Saccharomyces cerevisiae S288C: one gene and its partners. The gene in region 2 interacts genetically with the main gene of each other region. Each region holds a gene or a part of one and is shown on either strand. Other genes may lie near its edges.

Evidence for each region.
Region 1: of SSM4 (region 2) and SAN1, changing one enhances a phenotype caused by changing the other (phenotypic enhancement), as found in Saccharomyces cerevisiae (2 studies listed by BioGRID).
Region 3: of SSM4 (region 2) and CBF2, a mutation in one rescues a mutant of the other (synthetic rescue), as found in Saccharomyces cerevisiae (2 studies listed by BioGRID).
Region 4: of SSM4 (region 2) and RNA14, a mutation in one rescues a mutant of the other (synthetic rescue), as found in Saccharomyces cerevisiae (2 studies listed by BioGRID).

Annotation. Positions count from the first base shown.
Region 1 is NC_001136.10:741,513-745,821, reverse strand, and holds SAN1 (ubiquitin-protein ligase SAN1), read left to right. Parts: upstream 1-1,947; coding exon 1,948-3,780; downstream 3,781-4,309. Other genes in the region: MKC7 (aspartyl protease), read left to right, coding at 1-1,511; PEX7 (Pex7p), read left to right, coding at 4,222-4,309. UniProt on the Saccharomyces cerevisiae protein: Plays a specific role in mating-type regulation of yeast, by acting post-translationally to control the stability or activity of the SIR4 proteins.
Region 2 is NC_001141.2:295,550-301,791, forward strand, and holds SSM4 (E3 ubiquitin-protein ligase SSM4), read right to left. Parts: upstream 4,461-6,242; coding exon 501-4,460; downstream 1-500. Other genes in the region: SUMO protease ULP2, read left to right, coding at 1-188; EMA17 (Ema17p), read right to left, coding at 5,280-5,708. UniProt on the Saccharomyces cerevisiae protein: E3 ubiquitin-protein ligase which accepts ubiquitin specifically from endoplasmic reticulum-associated UBC6 and UBC7 E2 ligases, and transfers it to substrates promoting their degradation.
Region 3 is NC_001139.9:765,607-770,854, forward strand, and holds CBF2 (Cbf2p), read left to right. Parts: upstream 1-1,822; coding exon 1,823-4,693; downstream 4,694-5,248. Other genes in the region: VPS62 (Vps62p), read left to right, coding at 4,963-5,248.
Region 4 is NC_001145.3:390,748-395,329, reverse strand, and holds RNA14 (cleavage polyadenylation factor subunit RNA14), read right to left. Parts: upstream 2,576-4,582; coding exon 542-2,575; downstream 1-541. Other genes in the region: ARG7 (glutamate N-acetyltransferase), read left to right, coding at 1-276; SAM complex subunit SAM37, read left to right, coding at 2,815-3,798; SEN15 (Sen15p), read right to left, coding at 3,845-4,231. UniProt on the Saccharomyces cerevisiae protein: Component of the cleavage factor IA (CFIA) complex, which is involved in the endonucleolytic cleavage during polyadenylation-dependent pre-mRNA 3'-end formation and cooperates with the cleavage factor NAB4/CFIB and the cleavage and polyadenylation factor (CPF) complex.

The DNA of each region.
Region 1 (4,309 bases), on a different chromosome or scaffold from region 2:
TTACTGTGCTTGTCGACACTGGTTCTTCTGATCTATGGGTCACGGGTTCAGACAACCCATACTGTTCCACTAAAAAGAAGGATACCACTGGCTCATCCTTTAAACAAGTAAACAAGGATGCTTTGGCTAGCGTGGTTGAGAGTGTGTTTACTGAAATTAGCTACGACACCACTATAGTTACCAGCGAAGCCACTGCTACTTTTGATAGTACAGCTTCTACATCACAGTTAATTGACTGCGCTACATACGGGACATTTAATACCTCTAAGTCGTCTACATTCAACTCCAATAATACAGAATTTTCGATCGCCTATGGTGATACGACTTTTGCATCTGGTACCTGGGGCCATGATCAATTGAGCTTGAACGATTTGAACATTACGGGTTTATCATTTGCTGTAGCAAACGAAACAAACTCAACAGTTGGTGTCTTGGGTATTGGTTTGCCTGGCTTGGAGTCAACTTATTCTGGTGTTTCTCTCAGCTCTGTACAAAAAAGCTACACTTACAATAACTTTCCGATGGTGCTAAAGAATTCGGGTGTAATAAAATCAACAGCTTATTCTTTATTCGCAAATGATTCTGATTCGAAACATGGTACCATTTTGTTTGGCGCTGTGGATCATGGAAAATATGCGGGCGACCTATACACAATTCCCATCATTAATACTTTGCAGCATCGCGGCTACAAGGATCCAATTCAATTCCAAGTCACTTTACAAGGATTAGGTACGTCGAAAGGGGATAAAGAAGACAATCTGACAACCCTAACCACTACAAAGATCCCAGTCCTGCTAGATTCAGGTACGACCATATCGTATATGCCAACTGAGCTGGTAAAAATGCTTGCCGACCAGGTCGGAGCTACTTACTCTTCTGCATATGGTTACTACATAATGGATTGTATCAAAGAGATGGAAGAAGAGAGTAGCATCATCTTTGATTTTGGTGGATTCTATCTTTCTAATTGGTTAAGCGATTTTCAGCTAGTCACAGATAGTCGTTCAAACATTTGTATACTAGGTATTGCACCGCAGTCAGATCCGACCATTATTTTGGGTGATAACTTCTTAGCTAATACTTACGTGGTATATGATCTGGACAATATGGAGATATCAATGGCTCAGGCTAACTTCAGCGACGACGGTGAATACATTGAGATTATAGAGAGCGCGGTTCCAAGTGCTCTTAAAGCACCTGGTTACTCAAGCACTTGGTCTACATATGAAAGTATTGTCTCCGGCGGCAACATGTTTTCCACGGCAGCTAACTCCAGTATATCGTACTTTGCTTCCACGTCTCATTCGGCAACAAGTTCTTCCAGCTCCAAAGGCCAAAAAACCCAAACAAGTACGACAGCTCTCTCTATTTCAAAATCTACCTCAAGTACTTCCTCAACAGGAATGTTATCTCCCACCTCAAGTTCATCTACGAGAAAAGAAAACGGAGGACACAATCTGAATCCTCCATTTTTCGCCAGGTTCATTACAGCTATTTTTCATCACATTTGATAAATCCCTCCCTCCATATAAGCATTTACTAGACTTTAAAAGTTGCAATGTATATCTGGAGGTATAACATTGTACATTACTTGAAAGAAAAGCGTCTTTTAACGTAAAATAAATAATACTGTTCTTTTTTATTGTTACTGGCTTCTTAATCAACAATTATATACTTCGACGCAAAAAGCCGGGTAAAACATTCTATCTGCCATTGTCAAAAAATATGAAAGAATTTTTTACATATAACTACATTGCATTAGTATCACCAAATCAATAATGAAATAATAGCTAAAAACTATATATTGAAGGAAATATAGTTTATCATATATATCCTCTAGTGAAGCTACTATAGATAGAAATTATTTAGCATTTCAGGATAGTTCGTTTCTCCCTTTTTTCCCCTTTGTTTTCTCTCATAGTCTTGTAACCTCAGCTTTTGTTCATTATGAGTGAAAGTGGTCAAGAACAAAACAGAGGCACAAATACATCACCAAATAATGCTGAAAATAATAATAATTCAAATGCAGCTTCCGGTCCACTCAATGGTGGTGCTGAGCAAACAAGAAACATAACCGTTTCCATTCAGTATTCCTATTTCACTCCGGAGAGATTAGCACATTTGAGCAATATATCTAATAATGATAATAACGAAAACAACAGCGCAGCATCCGGTAGCACGATTGCCAACGGTACTGGGCCCAGCTTTGGCATCGGAAATGGGGGCCATCAACCCGACGGTGCTCTTGTTTTATCTTTTCGTGATGTTCCTGCGTCTACTCCACAAGACCGTTTGAACAGCTTCATATCTGTTGCTGCTCAGCTTGCAATGGAGAGATTCAACAGACTATTAAATAGACCAAAAGGAATATCAAAGGATGAGTTTGATAAGCTCCCCGTTCTGCAAGTTTCTGATCTACCCAAGGCCGAAGGGCCCTTATGTAGTATATGTTATGACGAATATGAAGATGAAGTTGATTCAACTAAAGCAAAAAGAAAAAGGGATTCTGAAAATGAGGAGGAATCTGAAGGAACAAAAAAAAGGAAGGATAATGAAGGTGCGCCCCTACGCACAACCGCCGATAATGACAGTAACCCATCGATTACAAATGCTACGGTTGTTGAACCGCCTTCTATTCCTCTCACTGAACAACAACGCACTCTCAATGATGAAGAAACAAATCCAAGCTACAAACACTCACCAATCAAGTTACCTTGTGGCCACATTTTTGGGAGGGAATGTATCTACAAATGGTCAAGATTAGAAAATTCTTGTCCCCTTTGTAGACAAAAGATCAGCGAATCTGTAGGTGTTCAACGTGCAGCCCAACAAGATACGGATGAAGTAGCAGCTAACGAAGCTGCTTTTGAACGTATTAGACGAGTTTTATACGACCCAACTGCAGTGAATAGCACTAACGAAAATAGTTCCGCCCCATCCGAAAACACGTCCAATACAACGGTTCCCACTATCGGAAATGCAAGTTCTGGCGAACAGATGTTATCAAGAACAGGCTTTTTTTTAGTGCCTCAAAACGGCCAACCTTTACACAATCCAGTCCGTTTACCGCCTAATGATAGCGATAGAAACGGTGTCAACGGGCCGAGCTCAACTACTCAAAATCCACCCTCTAATTCTGGTGGTTCGAATAACAATCAAAGTCCGCGCTGGGTTCCCATCCCTTTGACTTTGTTCCAATTCCACAGTCCAAATCCGAATCCTTCCGCTTCTGATTCTTCGGCAAGCCCATCAGCAGCGAACGGTCCAAACTCAAATAACACTAGTAGTGACGCTACAGACCCTCACCACAACAGACTAAGAGCCGTTTTGGATCACATATTCAACGTTGCTCAGAGGGGAACTTCTGATACCTCTGCAACAACAGCACCCGGAGCACAAACTGTTCACAACCAAGGACGTAATGACTCATCGTCCTCTGATACAACGCAAGGAAGTTCCTTTTTGGAAAATATTTCACGATTAACAGGCCATTTTACGAATGGCTCAAGAGACAACAATAACGACAATAACCATAGCAATGATCAACAACGAGGTGGAAGTACTGGTGAGAACAACAGAAATAACTTGTTTTCCTCCGGTGTTGCCAGTTATAGAAATCAAAATGGTGATGTTACTACCGTCGAACTACGCAACAACAATTCTGCTGCCTTTCCTCCTACAGACGAAAATCCCTCTCAAGGCCAAGGTTCAAGCAGTTCGGACACCACCATTCATAACGACGTCCCTAATGATAACAATGAGCAACGATCATCACAATAAACAATACCGCTTCTGAAGTATGTTAATATGAAAATATGTCCTATTGGCAGTCATCCATTTTCAGACATTATTTTCTACTCCTTTTACCTTTTTTTTATCTGCATCTTTATATATATATATCATATACTTATTTTTCTTTACTTCTACTTAAAGTTCTATAATCATTGTTAATCAGAAATTTGCATGTCTCCAGCAAGTAAATATGAAGGCCGAGAAATTAAACCACCGACATAACCTCCTCTGAAAAGTCGTTTCGCAAAACAGTAAAAGGTGAAAACACTTTTAAGAACTGTGGAACACAAACTGTGTTTTCTTACCATAAAATCTTTTACCGGAGGTCGAAATCGTTTTCTTTCTGATTTGGAATTCGACGCTCGAAAAGTGCAGAGATCTCATATTGTTAACGGACTATCATCTAACTTTTTGCATAATTTATACAACATGCTCAGATATCATATGCAAGGTTTTAGTGGGTACGGTGTCCAGTATTCTCCCTTTTTCGATAACAGGCTCGCGGTAGCTGCTGGTT
Region 2 (6,242 bases):
AGTTGGTTGATATTGATGATGTGGCATTTAGTAGTCCAACTAGGGGTATTCCAAGAACCAGCGCGACAAGCAAGGGATCAAATGCACAACTTCTCTCTAATTATGGAGATGAAAATAACCAGTCTCAAGATTCTGTTTGGGATGAGGGCAGAGATAATCCTATACTCTTGGAAGATGAAGACCCTTGAAAGCACTCGCACGCATAGTTTTATATTTTTTATTCTTTTCCTCTTTATTTTTATTTTTTTAACATTCTCGCATAATAATAGTAACAGCAATAAAATAACTAGTAATATACATACTCACATAAATAGGCATATTTTTTATTTTGTTCTTTCGTATTCAGAATGGTAAATTTTTCTAATGAAATGTTTTACAAAAATTTTTTTTCTATAATTCTAACAATAAGAAATAAAACAGTGGAAAAACATATAACTTAATGTAGATATATATATGTAAATATGCTAGCATTCATTTTAAATGTAAGGAAGAAAACGCCTTTAACTTTCATCTGGTAAATTTTCTAAAGCTCTACCCTTAGTGTAAACCTCGTCTTTTACATTCTGTACAGTACTTTTGAACCATTGAATGAACAGCACAGTTGCTTGGAAAAAGAACGTAAATGACTCTAATGCTATCAGTAGTCCGAAATAAATATCTTGCATCCTTGTCCATGTTGGGAATGATTCGTTAAGCGATAAAGTGAAACTCCTGGATCCATGGCTAATATCGATAATCTGCTTTGTAGAAACATCACGTAAAAATACTAAGGATAAAATAATAATCGGCAAGACGTAAATTACCATGTGCAGGAAACCTTGTTTAAACAGTTCCAAAGCCATTGTTTTCAAGAAGTTCAATTTACTAGTATTTCTGTTTCTGAAAAATAGTTTCAATGACTTATATCCGGTTCCGAAATTGACCATTGACGAAATGATCCAAACGACGAATAACAAACTCTCGTCATATTTAAACCATTTGGAATTACCAATAGTGTATGAAGAATTGCCAAACACTCTGATGGTGAGATAATTGTAACAGGCTAGTATACCATCGGTTAAGACGACCCACGAAACCATAGTTCTAATAACCGCAATCATGATAGCTATAAACACCATCAGGTTATACTTCACCAACATACTATCAAATATACTGTTAAAGATGGCCATGAAAATTCCTTGACCCTCTTCCACATTATTGATATTATTAACAGGGGCATTGTTGATATCTCTCTCTGGTATATCGTGTTCCACTTCCTCTACTTCGTTTTCGTCAACGGCATGTTCATCGAGAGTGTTTTGGCCTTCTGTAAAATGAAGAATATCCTTAGCAATCTTGGATAAACAAACAGATCCGACACAGACATAATAAATGTTCAAATAGGAGTAGCTAATGTCAGAGAGTTCCTTCCATGCAACATAGACCTTATTTCTTTCACCTAACAATAGCTTTACGACTGGAAGAAAGCCGAAACTACAAACAAAGTTTATTAAAGCTTGACTAATAAATGTAACACCAAGCATTAAAATGGAAGCAAATAACCAAACCAGGCCAAGCAATGTCATATAGCGTAAACGGAAATCTGGAGGGACGTAAACGATATAATATTGATCATATTCCGTGTTTTGTTCGTCTAAATAACCAAATTCACCAGCAGCACGTTTGTTTCTCTCTTTAATTCTTTCCAAATCTAATGGTTTCAACAGCTTATCATCCTTTGTAACGGGGACAAACATTGTTTGTACATAATTTCTGGATACTATATCAGAAGAAGGAACACGCATTAAAACGCCATCGGGGACAAAATAAGCATGAACGTCACGAACTTGCCCAAACAATTCTTCTGCTTGTTCTAGAGTCTTTGGTTTAGTGAAAAGTTCTTGGTTTGACCATTCTGCATTCTTGGCAGCAATGTACTTGTAAAACAAATTGCGGTAAACAATATGGCCTCTCTCTGTTGGGGTATCTTTACCTAAGATAAAGGATGATAAACGTAATTTTCTTGAACATAACTTAAAAATTGTTTTCCAATACCTTTCCAATAAGGGTTTAACGTAAGAGCTAGACTCCAGGATCCTCTTCGTAAAATATAAAGTTAGCAAAATTGTATTGAACTTCCATGAAATAATTGATGTTGGTTTATAAGCTTCAGGAACGGATAATAAGTTCGATTTGAGCATGAATGGGAAAAAAATTCTAGTATGGAAGCCAAAACCTAAGACAATAAAAATCGCATAAATAAACATGGATAAGCAAAGCCTTGATAATTGAATACTCATCGGATGAATTAAACTATCATGCAAGATCTTAATATTAGGATCTTCTGGAGATCTGATAAAGAATAGAACACCTGGTCTAATGATATTTTTCCTAATCATTCCGATATATTTGGCAAACCAATACATGTAGAGAGTACCAATCGTCCAGTATACGAAAAGGGAAAATGGAGGCCATATTGCGCATATTGAAGGAACCCAAAGCATCCGACTATTGGATGCCAGGATTGGGCAAAATAATGAGAAATCTAGCATTACACCAGCTAGAATGGGGAATCCAGCCAATTCGATGAAAAATAAAGTGAACACCTTGAAAGTGCATTTGAGTGCAAATAAAATCTGGAAAATCAGCCTTCTAGTAGGGTTGCTCATTCCGTTCTCACGGCCATAACCCCTCGAGACAAGATTGGATGAAGCACAAACGATACTGACTGAGGTTAGATACGTCGTTAAAGCAGGTAAAGCTCTGATGAAAATTGAGTGCTTCATGGTGTTTTCAGTGTAGCCGTTGTAAAGATAAATGATGTCATGAATTAAGTGGTCTGAAATCCAACTCATCGCGACATCTACTTTAGGGACCAGTTTCGTCAGCCCATTGTAAGCTATATGAGCGCCAGACAAGTAGTAAAGATGGCACAACCCACGCAAAATAACCTTAAATATACCAAAATAAATTTTCAACAAACCGAACCCAATAAAAGTTGGAAACAAATAGGAAATTGCCAGGTATATTGCGGTGAAAACTACGGCAATTATGAAATAAGCAATGACATTCAACAATTTCAATTTGAGATTTATCACTAGAGGGCCTTGTCCTTGATCGTCTGGGTTAGCCTGTGCTGGTGGCACACCAACAGCTGCGCCAAAGTCTTGTTCGTCTTGATCGACATTTCCAGCTCTGTTTTGGGCAGGTGGTGGGATGAAAACCGGAGCGTTGGGCCTGTTTATTGCGTTCTGTTGAGCAGCGATTAGGTCATCAAATTCATTTTGCGCACGACGATTTGCCCACATGTCAATCGGATTGGGCTCTATATGATCACGGTAATCTGCCTCTTCTTCTGGTTGCTGCTGTTGCTGTTGCCCCTCTGCTTCTTCATCTTCTTCGTTGTCACTTGAAGACCCCGGTAAAATTCGTGACGAATCATCACCTGATGGTAAACTATTGTCAGAGTCGTTGTTCTCGTGCTCTTCCGTAGCCTCATCATGATCTAATTCGTCTACGTGGCGAAGGTTTTCAAAATTCCGATGGTCATTAGGATCCTGAGGTGGAACGTTATCGTTTCTGGGATTAATAACATTATTATTATTATCTGCTGCTGCGGCTGGCATGTTCAGTCTATCATGACCTTGCTCTTGACGATTTTCGTCATGAGCTCTCATTTCCCTCGCTAAATATTCAACCATTCTATCATCCATCATGGGGAATCTTTCCTTCAAACGTGATTTCAAGTCCTTGGGAGATAATCTTGGACCTATCTTGTGGAAAACCATTTTACTGAAAACATCCTCTCTTACTATCATATCGTATTGAAAGTACAATGCTATATGTAGTATCACTATCATAATAAATTGTAAAGACGTAAACGAATGGTTTTGTAAAAGTTGGTAAAAAATTGCTCTCGTGGTTAATTCTGGAGTTGCTGACTGATCATAACCATAAATCAAACTCTTTAGGAAATCACCAGGATAAGGGGATGATCCATCTAGCATCATGGTGTATAATTTTCCAAACATGTTCCATACCAAAGGAACACCGATAATATATAGTACAGCGGCCAAACCAATCGTTAAAGCCAAACGAGCTTTTTCGAAAAATGTCAAGATGCTCTTGGATAGTAGTAAAGAAAAAGGTATCTTTTCGGGCATGTTTTCCGCATATATCGTTTTGAATTGAATGGGATAGTGACAGATGTCACATTTAACATCCGCGCCTGGTTTTGAAATGTCTATATTTTTTGAAGCTACCCATTCCAACAGACAGGATTCATGCATGTATTTAATTGAGCCCCTGCATTTACAAGGATGGAAAAGAGGATTGTCCTCAGTAGCTTCTCCACGACAAATACGGCAGGTGGCGCCGGATGGCGCATCATCATTGAAAGTGGCGGTATCTGTTTCCTCGTTTGCCACCTTATGCAGTTCATCTCTTAACCTGGAGACATTAACGTCAGAATCAACATCCATGACTTTCACACTTCTAGTCTCTTTGATTCAATTAGTGGTACTCTTGGCTAAAAAAACAGTTTTTGAAATCAGTAACAAAGAACTATTCTTAACGTAATCTTATGGCTTCATAGATCGGTCATAATCATCTTTTCAATGTCCTCAATCGATGCGTTTTCAACCAGTTTTCCGTCTCTAATGATTTAATTTTTCTATTGAATTGAAAATGGTAAAAAGATAGCCCTGTAGGGGGCTCGAACCCCTAACCTTATGATTAAGAGTCATACGCGCTACCGATTGCGCCAACAAGGCTATTTCGTTGGAAAAACTACTTATTTTAGGAAGTAATAGCACATTTAAGATGCTTGTTGGAATGAAACTTTAAAATATCATCTGTTTAGTACTATTCATGTTACTAATTAAGATATGGGTGAATTTTGAGATAATTGTTGGGGGTTCCATTGTTGATAAAGGCTTATAATATTATGTATACGGAATATACTAGAAGTTCTCCTCGAGGATCTAGGAATCCTCATAATGGAATCTATATTTCTATATACTAATATTACGATTATTCCTCATTCCGTTTTATATGTTTCATTCTCCTATTACATTATCAATTTTTGTATTTCAGCTTCCTCTAACCTCGATGACAGCTTCTCATAATTTACGCCATCCTCTTACACCGCATGTGATGCTATTACTACTAAATAGATAACATTAGAATTTCATTCCAACAGCTTTAGTCTGTTTTAATAAACGCAACAGCACCATAATGTTATTAATTTTAATAAAGCCAAATTATGGCCTGCTGATTTCTTTTCATTGGTAAAAGTTCTATCACCCGTTCCCCATTAGTATGATAACCGATAAATAAACTCTATTACCTGGTTTCTTCGTTCCAGGAACGTTTATACCCTGACTACACATTTCTTTTGAAAAATAGGCCAATTGAACAATTAAGTTAGAAGCGGTTAGAAAAAGGTATAATAGGAAAAAATGCATCCAATTTTTACAGTTGAACCACTTGGGGGATTTTATTCTCGTATTGTAGCGGGAGCATTTTATCTTCGTACATCTTGGAAGCTGTAGATTAATCTTATTCCTATATGCTCCTTCAATCCACACAGCAAACCCCCAAATGGAAACGATCACTGAGTATGTTATAAACCAGCTTACGCTTATACTATTATCAAAATTCAAAAGATTGAACGGGGAAAATGGTAGAAATGAATATTGAAGCATTTTCGCAATGAAAATTAACCGCATTGTTTTTATAGTAATTCTGATGGCTAACGGCGGTAATACAGCATCCTTACGAAGAGCGGGAATAGTTCATTTGCCCTCTTTGATGGTTTGCATAACTGCGTTGTTGATTGTCTTAGGAATGGAAATATTTAACAAATATACCTATAATGAAAAAAGGGTCCTTCTTTTTAATTATTATTGGCAGCGAAAAAGTTGTCCCAGCTTCTACTTTTTTTCCCGTTAAAAAAGGAAGCGGCGGAAGCTGATCTACTCTCTAATAATAGACTACTCACTCGCATCTTGGTAACGAGTCCCTTTAAGATCTTGGTACATAAAGTTTGCTGCAGCAAAAAGGGCTTATTTGCGCATTCATGATATTAAACAACACCCTGTTTAGCGTGTTAATGATCCTTGTTTTATGCCAGTATATTCTGTATACCTTATAATAGAGTCAACAGTTAAATCCTAATCATTACCTCAGGACTTACCTATTTCTGAATATCATGGTCCACCATTCTACCTCAGTGAATTGATTGAACCGCACCATTGGAATTG
Region 3 (5,248 bases), on a different chromosome or scaffold from region 2:
ATTTGTTTTGTGTATTATTTTTGTGATTAGTTATTAGATGGAATTAAAGGAAAAATATCAATGGACAAAAAATATTAGGGTGTAGAAATAAAGAATAATAGCAGGGCTTTGATAAAAGAATGTATCAATTACTTTTTGAAATTAAAGTTAAAATTAAAATTCAAACCGAAAAAAAAAAAAAATTAAATATTAAACTTGATATAGTAGGAGAAGGAAGTTGTATATTGTTCTCTATAAACACAAACAATAAAATGATATATTTGTTTTCTTATTTCTTCTTGATGTCTTCAGGAAAAAAGAACATAAACAAATACAAAAAAATCCTAGTACGAAACCTCAAAAGGGTGTATGCGCAATGTATATATATAGCAAGAAAAAAAAATAAACAGTGGCATTACAGTGCATGCGGATGGCAGTGTTCTTCGGTGGCTTTTTCGAAAAACCTAGAATGCGTTTAAAAGACTCAGACACCTAAGCAGAATATGCGAATGACTCGTTCAGTAAAATGCGACGCGACAGTTTGTTTTCGTTCTGCGCTGCTGTGTTCTCTATTCTTTTGAGATGAATTTAACGGCTATGGAATCATCTCGAGAAATCGGTTCTAGTAAGGCACCAAGACATTATGTCCCTCGGGAGGAGAAGGGCGCACGCGTCAGGCTTCCACGACGTCCGCCGTGCATGCGCTCTCGCATTTTTAAGGTTTAGTGCGGCAGGCGACTGCGCTGCGGCCAGCCCGTGAGACCACCCGAGGGAATTTGAGTAAGCGCGCCCATTGCGGGGTTTTTGCGGTTTGCGCTGTTTTCCGCACGAGGTTTCTCCGGACACAGTTAAGCAGTATATTTCACTCGGAAGCGCCGGAAAATTTTTTTAAGCGCAAATATATTCAGGTAAGCAGCAAAAAAATACTTTTTCCGGTGGCCCGTGATGTGTTTGTAACAGCTTCTGCGGTACTTTGGGCGGCTAAATGGCAAATAGATCAGGGGAAGGGTTTTTGCATAGGTACAAAATAACCGGATTTTGGGTAAGATTCGATCTTCGGCACTTGTGGCGAAGTAAAAGTGTTGAAAAAGTTCGCGTAATAATAGTGTTAGCCGTTTCAGCTTCGTCCATAAAGTACATATCCACAACTCTCATGGTGCGAAGTACAAACATTGAACGGCAGCTGTCTTGCTCAGCTAGTGGTATGTAAGCAGCCGCATTCTATTTTTATTTTCGTGCCTTTAAGTGTTAAAACCTGAGGCAGATTTTTTATTTTTTTGCATTCCCCTTCCTTTTTGCCGTAATGGCGCATTCAGTGCTGATATATTTATACTTCAATGGTGCTTCTCCTTACTTTTCTTATAGAAATAAACATCAAAACATGAACCTCAAATTCATCCGAAAATGACTGCGGCCACTCACCTTGCTTCTTCCCCACAAATATTTGTGTTCTCTGCTTTCTTTGTGTGTACTTTGTCTTGCTCTATATAACTTTCTCTCTGCTGCTGAGTCTTCAAATAGGTAGATTGATGCCTGTGGACTTTTATACAAAGGAGTTTGAGTGATTACATTCAAGATAAACGTGAAAAGTTATTATTATATCTTATGCTAAACAACAGTGTAATTGCGTTTGTTAAGCACAATCTCAAAATAATGCGCTAACAGTGGTGCGCATACTGCCATTTGTTATGGGCTATAATCGGATAGTGTATTCTTCTTGTTTGGTTATGTATCTCAACATCCAGGTATCCGTTACCCCACTTTGATACCAGGAACCTTTCGCGTTTTCTCTCGCTTTTATTTTTTTACCGCATACAAACAAACAAGAAAAAGTAGAAAACATATGAGATCATCGATTTTGTTTCTACTAAAATTGATGAAAATTATGGATGTTCAGCAACAGCAAGAAGCTATGTCATCAGAAGATAGGTTTCAGGAACTGGTGGACTCCCTAAAGCCAAGAACTGCGCATCAGTACAAGACCTACTATACTAAGTACATACAATGGTGTCAGCTCAATCAAATTATACCGACACCGGAGGACAATTCTGTAAATAGCGTCCCCTATAAAGACCTGCCAATATCTGCTGAACTGATACATTGGTTTTTGTTAGATACATTAATAACCGATGATAAGCCTGGAGAGAAAAGAGAAGAGACTGAAGATCTTGATGAGGAGGAGGAGAATTCATTCAAGATCGCTACGTTGAAGAAAATTATAGGCAGTCTCAATTTTTTGTCAAAATTGTGCAAAGTTCATGAAAATCCAAATGCTAATATAGACACAAAATACCTGGAGTCAGTCACCAAGCTTCATACCCATTGGATAGATTCACAAAAGGCAATCACCACTAATGAAACAAATAACACAAATACTCAAGTGCTGTGTCCACCATTATTGAAAGTGTCTTTGAATTTATGGAACCCAGAAACTAACCATCTCTCTGAGAAATTTTTTAAAACCTGTTCTGAAAAATTAAGATTCCTGGTGGATTTTCAATTAAGAAGTTATTTGAACCTTTCATTTGAAGAAAGATCAAAGATACGATTTGGTTCCCTCAAGCTCGGTAAAAGGGACAGAGACGCTATAATTTATCATAAAGTAACTCATTCGGCGGAAAAAAAAGATACGCCGGGCCACCATCAACTCCTTGCATTATTACCCCAAGATTGTCCATTTATCTGCCCTCAAACTACATTAGCTGCATATTTGTATTTAAGGTTCTATGGTATACCATCTGTTTCGAAAGGGGATGGCTTTCCCAATTTGAACGCTGATGAAAATGGCTCACTTTTACAAGATATTCCCATACTAAGAGGCAAATCACTGACAACTTATCCCAGAGAGGAAACATTTAGTAATTATTATACAACCGTGTTTAGGTATTGCCACTTACCTTATAAAAGAAGAGAATATTTCAACAAATGTAACCTTGTTTACCCAACTTGGGATGAAGACACTTTTAGAACATTTTTCAATGAAGAAAACCATGGAAATTGGTTAGAACAACCTGAGGCCTTTGCGTTCCCTGACAAAATACCGTTCGACTTCAAGAAAATCATGAACTTCAAATCGCCCTACACTTCGTATTCTACAAACGCTAAAAAGGACCCTTTTCCGCCTCCAAAGGATTTATTAGTTCAAATATTTCCGGAGATTGATGAATATAAAAGACATGATTATGAAGGTTTGTCTCAGAATTCAAGGGATTTTCTAGATTTAATGGAAGTTTTACGAGAAAGATTTTTGAGCAATCTACCATGGATTTACAAATTCTTTCCTAATCATGATATATTCCAGGACCCCATTTTTGGAAATTCCGATTTTCAATCATACTTCAATGACAAAACTATACATTCAAAGGGTTCACCCATTTTATCATTCGATATACTACCAGGCTTTAATAAAATCTATAAGAATAAGACAAATTTTTACTCACTCTTAATAGAAAGGCCTTCGCAGTTGACATTTGCTTCGAGTCATAATCCAGATACACACCCCACTCAAAAACAAGAATCTGAGGGGCCATTACAAATGAGTCAACTTGATACTACACAATTAAATGAATTATTGAAGCAACAGAGTTTCGAATATGTGCAGTTCCAAACACTTTCTAATTTCCAAATTTTATTATCGGTATTCAATAAAATTTTTGAGAAATTGGAGATGAAAAAATCTTCAAGAGGCTATATTTTACATCAGCTTAATTTATTCAAAATTACCTTGGATGAAAGAATTAAGAAATCTAAGATTGACGATGCCGATAAATTTATACGTGATAATCAGCCCATTAAAAAAGAAGAAAACATTGTGAATGAAGATGGGCCTAACACATCAAGGCGGACAAAGAGGCCGAAGCAAATTAGATTACTCTCAATTGCGGATTCCTCCGACGAATCCTCCACGGAGGATTCAAATGTATTCAAAAAGGACGGTGAATCCATCGAAGATGGCGCATATGGAGAAAATGAAGATGAGAATGACTCTGAGATGCAAGAGCAGTTAAAATCTATGATAAACGAACTTATAAACTCCAAAATAAGCACTTTTTTACGGGACCAAATGGATCAATTTGAATTGAAAATAAACGCTTTATTAGATAAAATTCTTGAAGAAAAAGTCACTCGTATTATCGAGCAAAAACTTGGTTCACACACGGGGAAGTTTTCAACGTTGAAGAGGCCACAACTATACATGACGGAAGAACACAATGTTGGATTTGATATGGAAGTTCCTAAAAAACTTAGGACCAGTGGTAAGTACGCAGAGACTGTGAAAGATAATGATGATCATCAAGCCATGTCAACTACTGCATCGCCGTCTCCTGAGCAAGATCAAGAAGCAAAGAGCTATACTGACGAACAAGAATTTATGCTGGACAAATCCATAGACAGCATAGAGGGAATCATTCTTGAATGGTTCACCCCAAACGCTAAGTACGCCAACCAATGCGTGCATTCAATGAACAAATCAGGTAACAAGTCGTGGAGAGCTAATTGTGAAGCTTTATACAAGGAAAGAAAATCAATTGTTGAATTCTATATTTATTTGGTAAATCATGAGAGTCTCGACAGATACAAAGCAGTTGATATTTGCGAAAAATTACGAGATCAGAACGAAGGTTCATTTTCGCGCTTGGCAAAGTTCCTAAGGAAGTGGAGGCATGACCATCAAAATTCATTTGATGGTCTGTTAGTATATCTATCTAACTGAGGGAGCTTCGAAGTTTAAACTGTTTCGTATAGGGATACCGACATGTATGTTTATAATATAATGATGTTTACTATGAGAAAAAGGCTGCCGGAATATCAACGGTTGCTGTGGTGAGAAAATCGGGTAACACCTATAGGGGTTCCATCACTTCAGATGCCTTGAACTTTGAAATCTATACGAATATAGGAAGACTGAGTTGGTAGACCTGGTAAGATAGAAGAGGAAGAAGGCTTCTTTATTACCGCAACTAAGAATAAACTTATAGCTTCATGCGAATCTCAAAAAATAGTCATAAGCGGCAAAGAACGAGGCTATATTTCCTCGTTACATTTATTATTTATTCGATAATACCCTGCCGTGCGGTACTCGTGCCTTGGCTGGATGATGACCCATTTGAAGCAACGCTTCTAGAAATGGGGGATGAACCATGGAGTAAGGACATCCTTTCAAGCACACCTCCGTTACATCCATCTGAAGTTACCGAGGATAACAAAAGCTTAAAACAAAGGGGCAATGTACCGCAATATGTCATCGATAATAGCCCTCTGCTCCATT
Region 4 (4,582 bases), on a different chromosome or scaffold from region 2:
ATCGGGTATGCAAAGCTGAATGACTTAAAATCTCTAGATGTCAACAAAATTAATGTTAGCTTTATTGCTACCGACAATTCAGAACCTCGTGAGCTGAAGCTTGTCGCTAATGGTGTGCCACAATTGGAGATCGATGAAACAAGGGCTTCTGAAATATTGGCTTTGAATGATTTGGAAGTGTCTGTCGACTTGGGAACCGGTGATCAGGCAGCACAATTTTGGACTTGTGATTTATCACATGAATATGTAACAATTAACGGTGATTACCGTTCATAAATTCATGTATATTTTGTTCAATCTTTCTTTTATAAGCATGGTTATATAAACGCACAGAAACAGAGTGTTTCCTGTACCTTCTGAATGAGTTTGGCTATTGCCATATTTTTGAAAGAATTAACTATTTCCGTTTTTATTTATGTACGAGGCACCTTAACTATCCTGTCACATCGTTTTTTTTTTACTTAATTACATACAGAGGTTCGCCTATTATAATAGATGTGTTGGTATAAATATTCATATATACCTATTTATTAACGTAATGTTAACCTGACTTGGTGCTCTCAACTGTTGGAATCTCTACTTGATCATTTAAAAAATTCACCAATTTCTGCGCATCGAGTAAATTTGTATTAAAATATTGACGTTTTGGTATAACGCTCAATAAATCAAGAACCTCTGTTGGAAGCTCTGAGTCTCTTTTGAATTTCTTATTGGAGAAGTTTCCATTGTTTCCAGTTTCCTCCATTAGTCTCTTTCTATCTGACGAACTCATATTGTAAGAGCCATGATGGCCATCCCCGTTTCCAGAAGAAAAGTAACTGTCTTCTTCCTCATTATACATATAAGTTAACTCTAATTTCTTTATTAAGTTGGAGTTTTGAATTTGATAACGACTTGTGAAAACTTCAATCAAATTTTCTTGGGGGAACCGTTCGAAAAATCTTTTCTCTAGAGAATAAACGTTGTTTAAGTTACCGAATTTCGATTCATAACTTATCATTTTCTTGTATATTTCCTTCAGCTGGGTTAAATCTTGCACTTTTTCCACTGATGTTTCAAATAAGGTTTTGATCTGCGAATCCTTATTTAAAAATATTAAAAAATCTAAGTATTTGTTGATATAAACTCCATCGTTTTGGAAGTATTTTAAACCCAATTCTAAAACCTTAAAAGCAGTCTTATAATCGTTTTGATTTTGAAATTCTAAATATGCATTTTCCACGTAGACGTCATGTGTTAATATACGCTTCAGTTTACGACATTTACCAAATACAGTACGTGCTGCGGATAGTCCTGATATTCTTTTCATCGTATTCATATACACGCAAAACACGAATGTTAATTTTTCCCTCTGTTTGTATAGCAGCTCTTGTTCATACTCTGTGTTATTATCTTCACCCGAATTTACATCGGAGGCGATCTTTTTATACTGCGATAGTAAAGTTTGAGTGCACTTGTCAAAACAGTTAGAAACACTTTCAGAATCATTATCCAGTTCGTAGCATTCGGATAACTTGAATGTAAGAGAAGGTGAGTCGGGATTAGCTAATAACGCAGTATATAAGATATTTTGTCGATCCGAATTTTCAGATATATACATTGAATAATCGTACCACATTTCAGCAGAAAATATCATGTATTGAATACCTTGTTTATAAACGTAACTGATTCTTTGTGATAGCATATCTTCACTAAGCATCAACTTATTCTCCCTTTCCCATTTTATCCAATTCAACCAAATCTGTAACTGCTGAATGTTTGAGTCTGAGGTACCTGGTTGTGGTATGTTTTTCTTGTTTGCTGTGCGCAGATTAATTGGAGATGCCCTTTTCAATCCATTAGTAACGTTCAACCATTCCTGGTATAAGGAACGGGCTTTCATGTATTCGGCTGATAACTCGCCAATAAATTTTCTGGCTGTTAGGGAATTTATTTCTTGTTCCCATTGAGTGTATCTATTCCACATTTTTTCTAGATTATCAAAAGGAACACATAGCATTTTCTTGTAGAATTCTCTGAGCATGTCAATTCGCTGTTGCTCCTCCCATTTGTTGAATGGCTTCCACTGCTCTAAAAAATTGAGATATTCGTTCCAAAAAGAAGATGATTTGGGTTCAAAAATTGCACACTTTTGCATAACTAGTTGGAATGCCTTGACAATAACAGCTCTCGCCTCTTGTCCACCAGTAATTAAGTTGTTTTTTCTGCGTATGTAGTCCAAATATGTTGACCAAAGAGATAGGTCATTATTTTCCAACTTGCCAGAAAGACATTGAGCCAAAATCTTCTCAACAGTCTCAAATTCATCTCTTGCCAATTCACCCTTTAGTTGCAAAGTCCACGCAGGTGAATAAAACGGGAATGTGTTATGAAATTGCTCGTATACTTCTCTCACCTTAGCGTATGACTCTTGAGTTTCCAAATATTGAATAAGCTGGAAGTATGATAAAATATTCGTGGGATTGTCTTTAATCCTTTCTCTAAGTCGTAGTTCATCTCCATGTATATTGTCACTAGGCTCTGCGACTTTGTCCGCAGAGGGATATAGTAAATCAGGAGTCGTAGAGCTGGACATATCTCTTGTTTGACTCTCCAGTTTGGCCTTTTATTTCGTTGTAGAATACTCTTTCATCACACAAGCTACACTTTTCTTCTTAATTATTACAAGGTAACCGACAATTTTGTCACGATTGTTATCATTTTAAACGAAGTGGGAAATGTAATAAGAAATAAGCTATTTAGAATGGCTACTATTTAATGCTGGAATTTGTATTTTTCAAATAAACGCAAAGCAAGGCTATTATCGAGTCAGTAATGGTTAAAGGTAGTGTGCATTTATGGGGAAAGGATGGCAAAGCATCGTTGATTTCAGTGGACAGCATTGCGCTTGTATGGTTTATCAAGTTATGTACTTCAGAAGAGGCAAAGAGTATGGTTGCGGGATTGCAGATCGTATTCTCAAACAATACAGACCTATCATCAGATGGAAAACTACCAGTGTTAATTTTAGATAATGGAACGAAAGTATCTGGTTACGTGAACATCGTACAATTCTTACATAAAAATATATGTACTAGCAAATATGAGAAAGGTACGGATTATGAAGAAGATTTAGCAATTGTTAGAAAAAAGGATCGCCTTTTAGAGTATTCCCTATTGAATTATGTTGACGTTGAAATTTCCAGACTAACGGACTACCAGCTCTTTTTGAACACCAAAAATTACAATGAATATACCAAGAAGTTGTTTTCAAAATTGCTATATTTTCCTATGTGGTATAATACGCCATTGCAACTAAGATCGCAAGCACGTGAAAATTGTGAGGAGATTATAGGCTCACTGACCCTTGAGGATGATGAAGAATTTGTAGAAAGTAAAGCAATGGAGTCAGCCTCGCAACTAGCACAATCAAAGACCTTCAAAATTGCGCATAAGAACAAAATTAAGGGTAAGCAAGAGCTACAACAGGTGAAATATAATCTTCAATTTGATAATAGACTACAGAGTTGCGTCAGCAATTGGTTGGCTGCCCGTAAAAAACTGGATGATTCTGTAATACTTTCCTCCGACCTTCTTTTCCTTGCAAATCTTTACGTTCAGTTAGGCCTACCTGATGGTAACCGCATCCGTTCAAAACTGGAACAAACCTTTGGAAGTGAATTATTGAATAGTATGTCGAACAAAATTGATGACTTCGTCCATAGACCAAGTAATAACTTGGAGCAAAGAGATCCTCAATTTAGAGAGCAAGGAAACGTTGTGATGTCATTATATAATTTAGCCTGTAAATACATATAATAAAAATAAACAAAATAATGCAGAAAGGTGTCTTTAAGTTCATTTTTCAATTTCTTTTCGGTTTTCGTACTCCTTTATAAACGAAGTAATAAACAATTGTACCATCATCGTTAATTATGGCCAGCAGTATTCTTTCAGTAGATGGACTACATAAGTGAGTAAATGTCTGGCTCAAGCATTCCAAAGTGAGAAAATTCTCTTTGTACTGTGACATATTGATGGGTAATATGAACTCTAGCGGGCGTGGCGATGACAAGCTATTTTCATGCTCTGTGTCTACATCGTTGCTCAGCTTGTGAGGCGGACGACCTCTCAGTAATCTCAGGCTATTTCCCTTCCATGATAAATCGTCTTGTAAAATTTCCACTTCCGTCCACATTTGGAAATAGAGTAAATTATTTTTTACTAGAGATATGATATCTGTCGTTGCCATTCTTATTTTCCTCAACCTCCTCGACGTAATTTCTCTTCGACAATTTATTATATCTTTCATATATTTCTGATGACTTTTTCATTTTCACTTTTTTTCAACCCATAACGGCTTTTTGTTCAAAAGAAACTGATCATGTCATCGATTAAAAGTAAAAGTATGCACATCAGCCTCGTGACAGATGAGGATCTCATGTCAAAAACCGCCAAGAAGCATGCATTATTGAATTTGAAACGTGGTAGATTATTAAGTATATGTCTATGTAATATTAAGTAAGACAAGGGCATTCACTTTACATGCAAATGCATTTGGAACCCTTGACCGAAAAAAAAAAAACAGGTTAACCGCAAAATA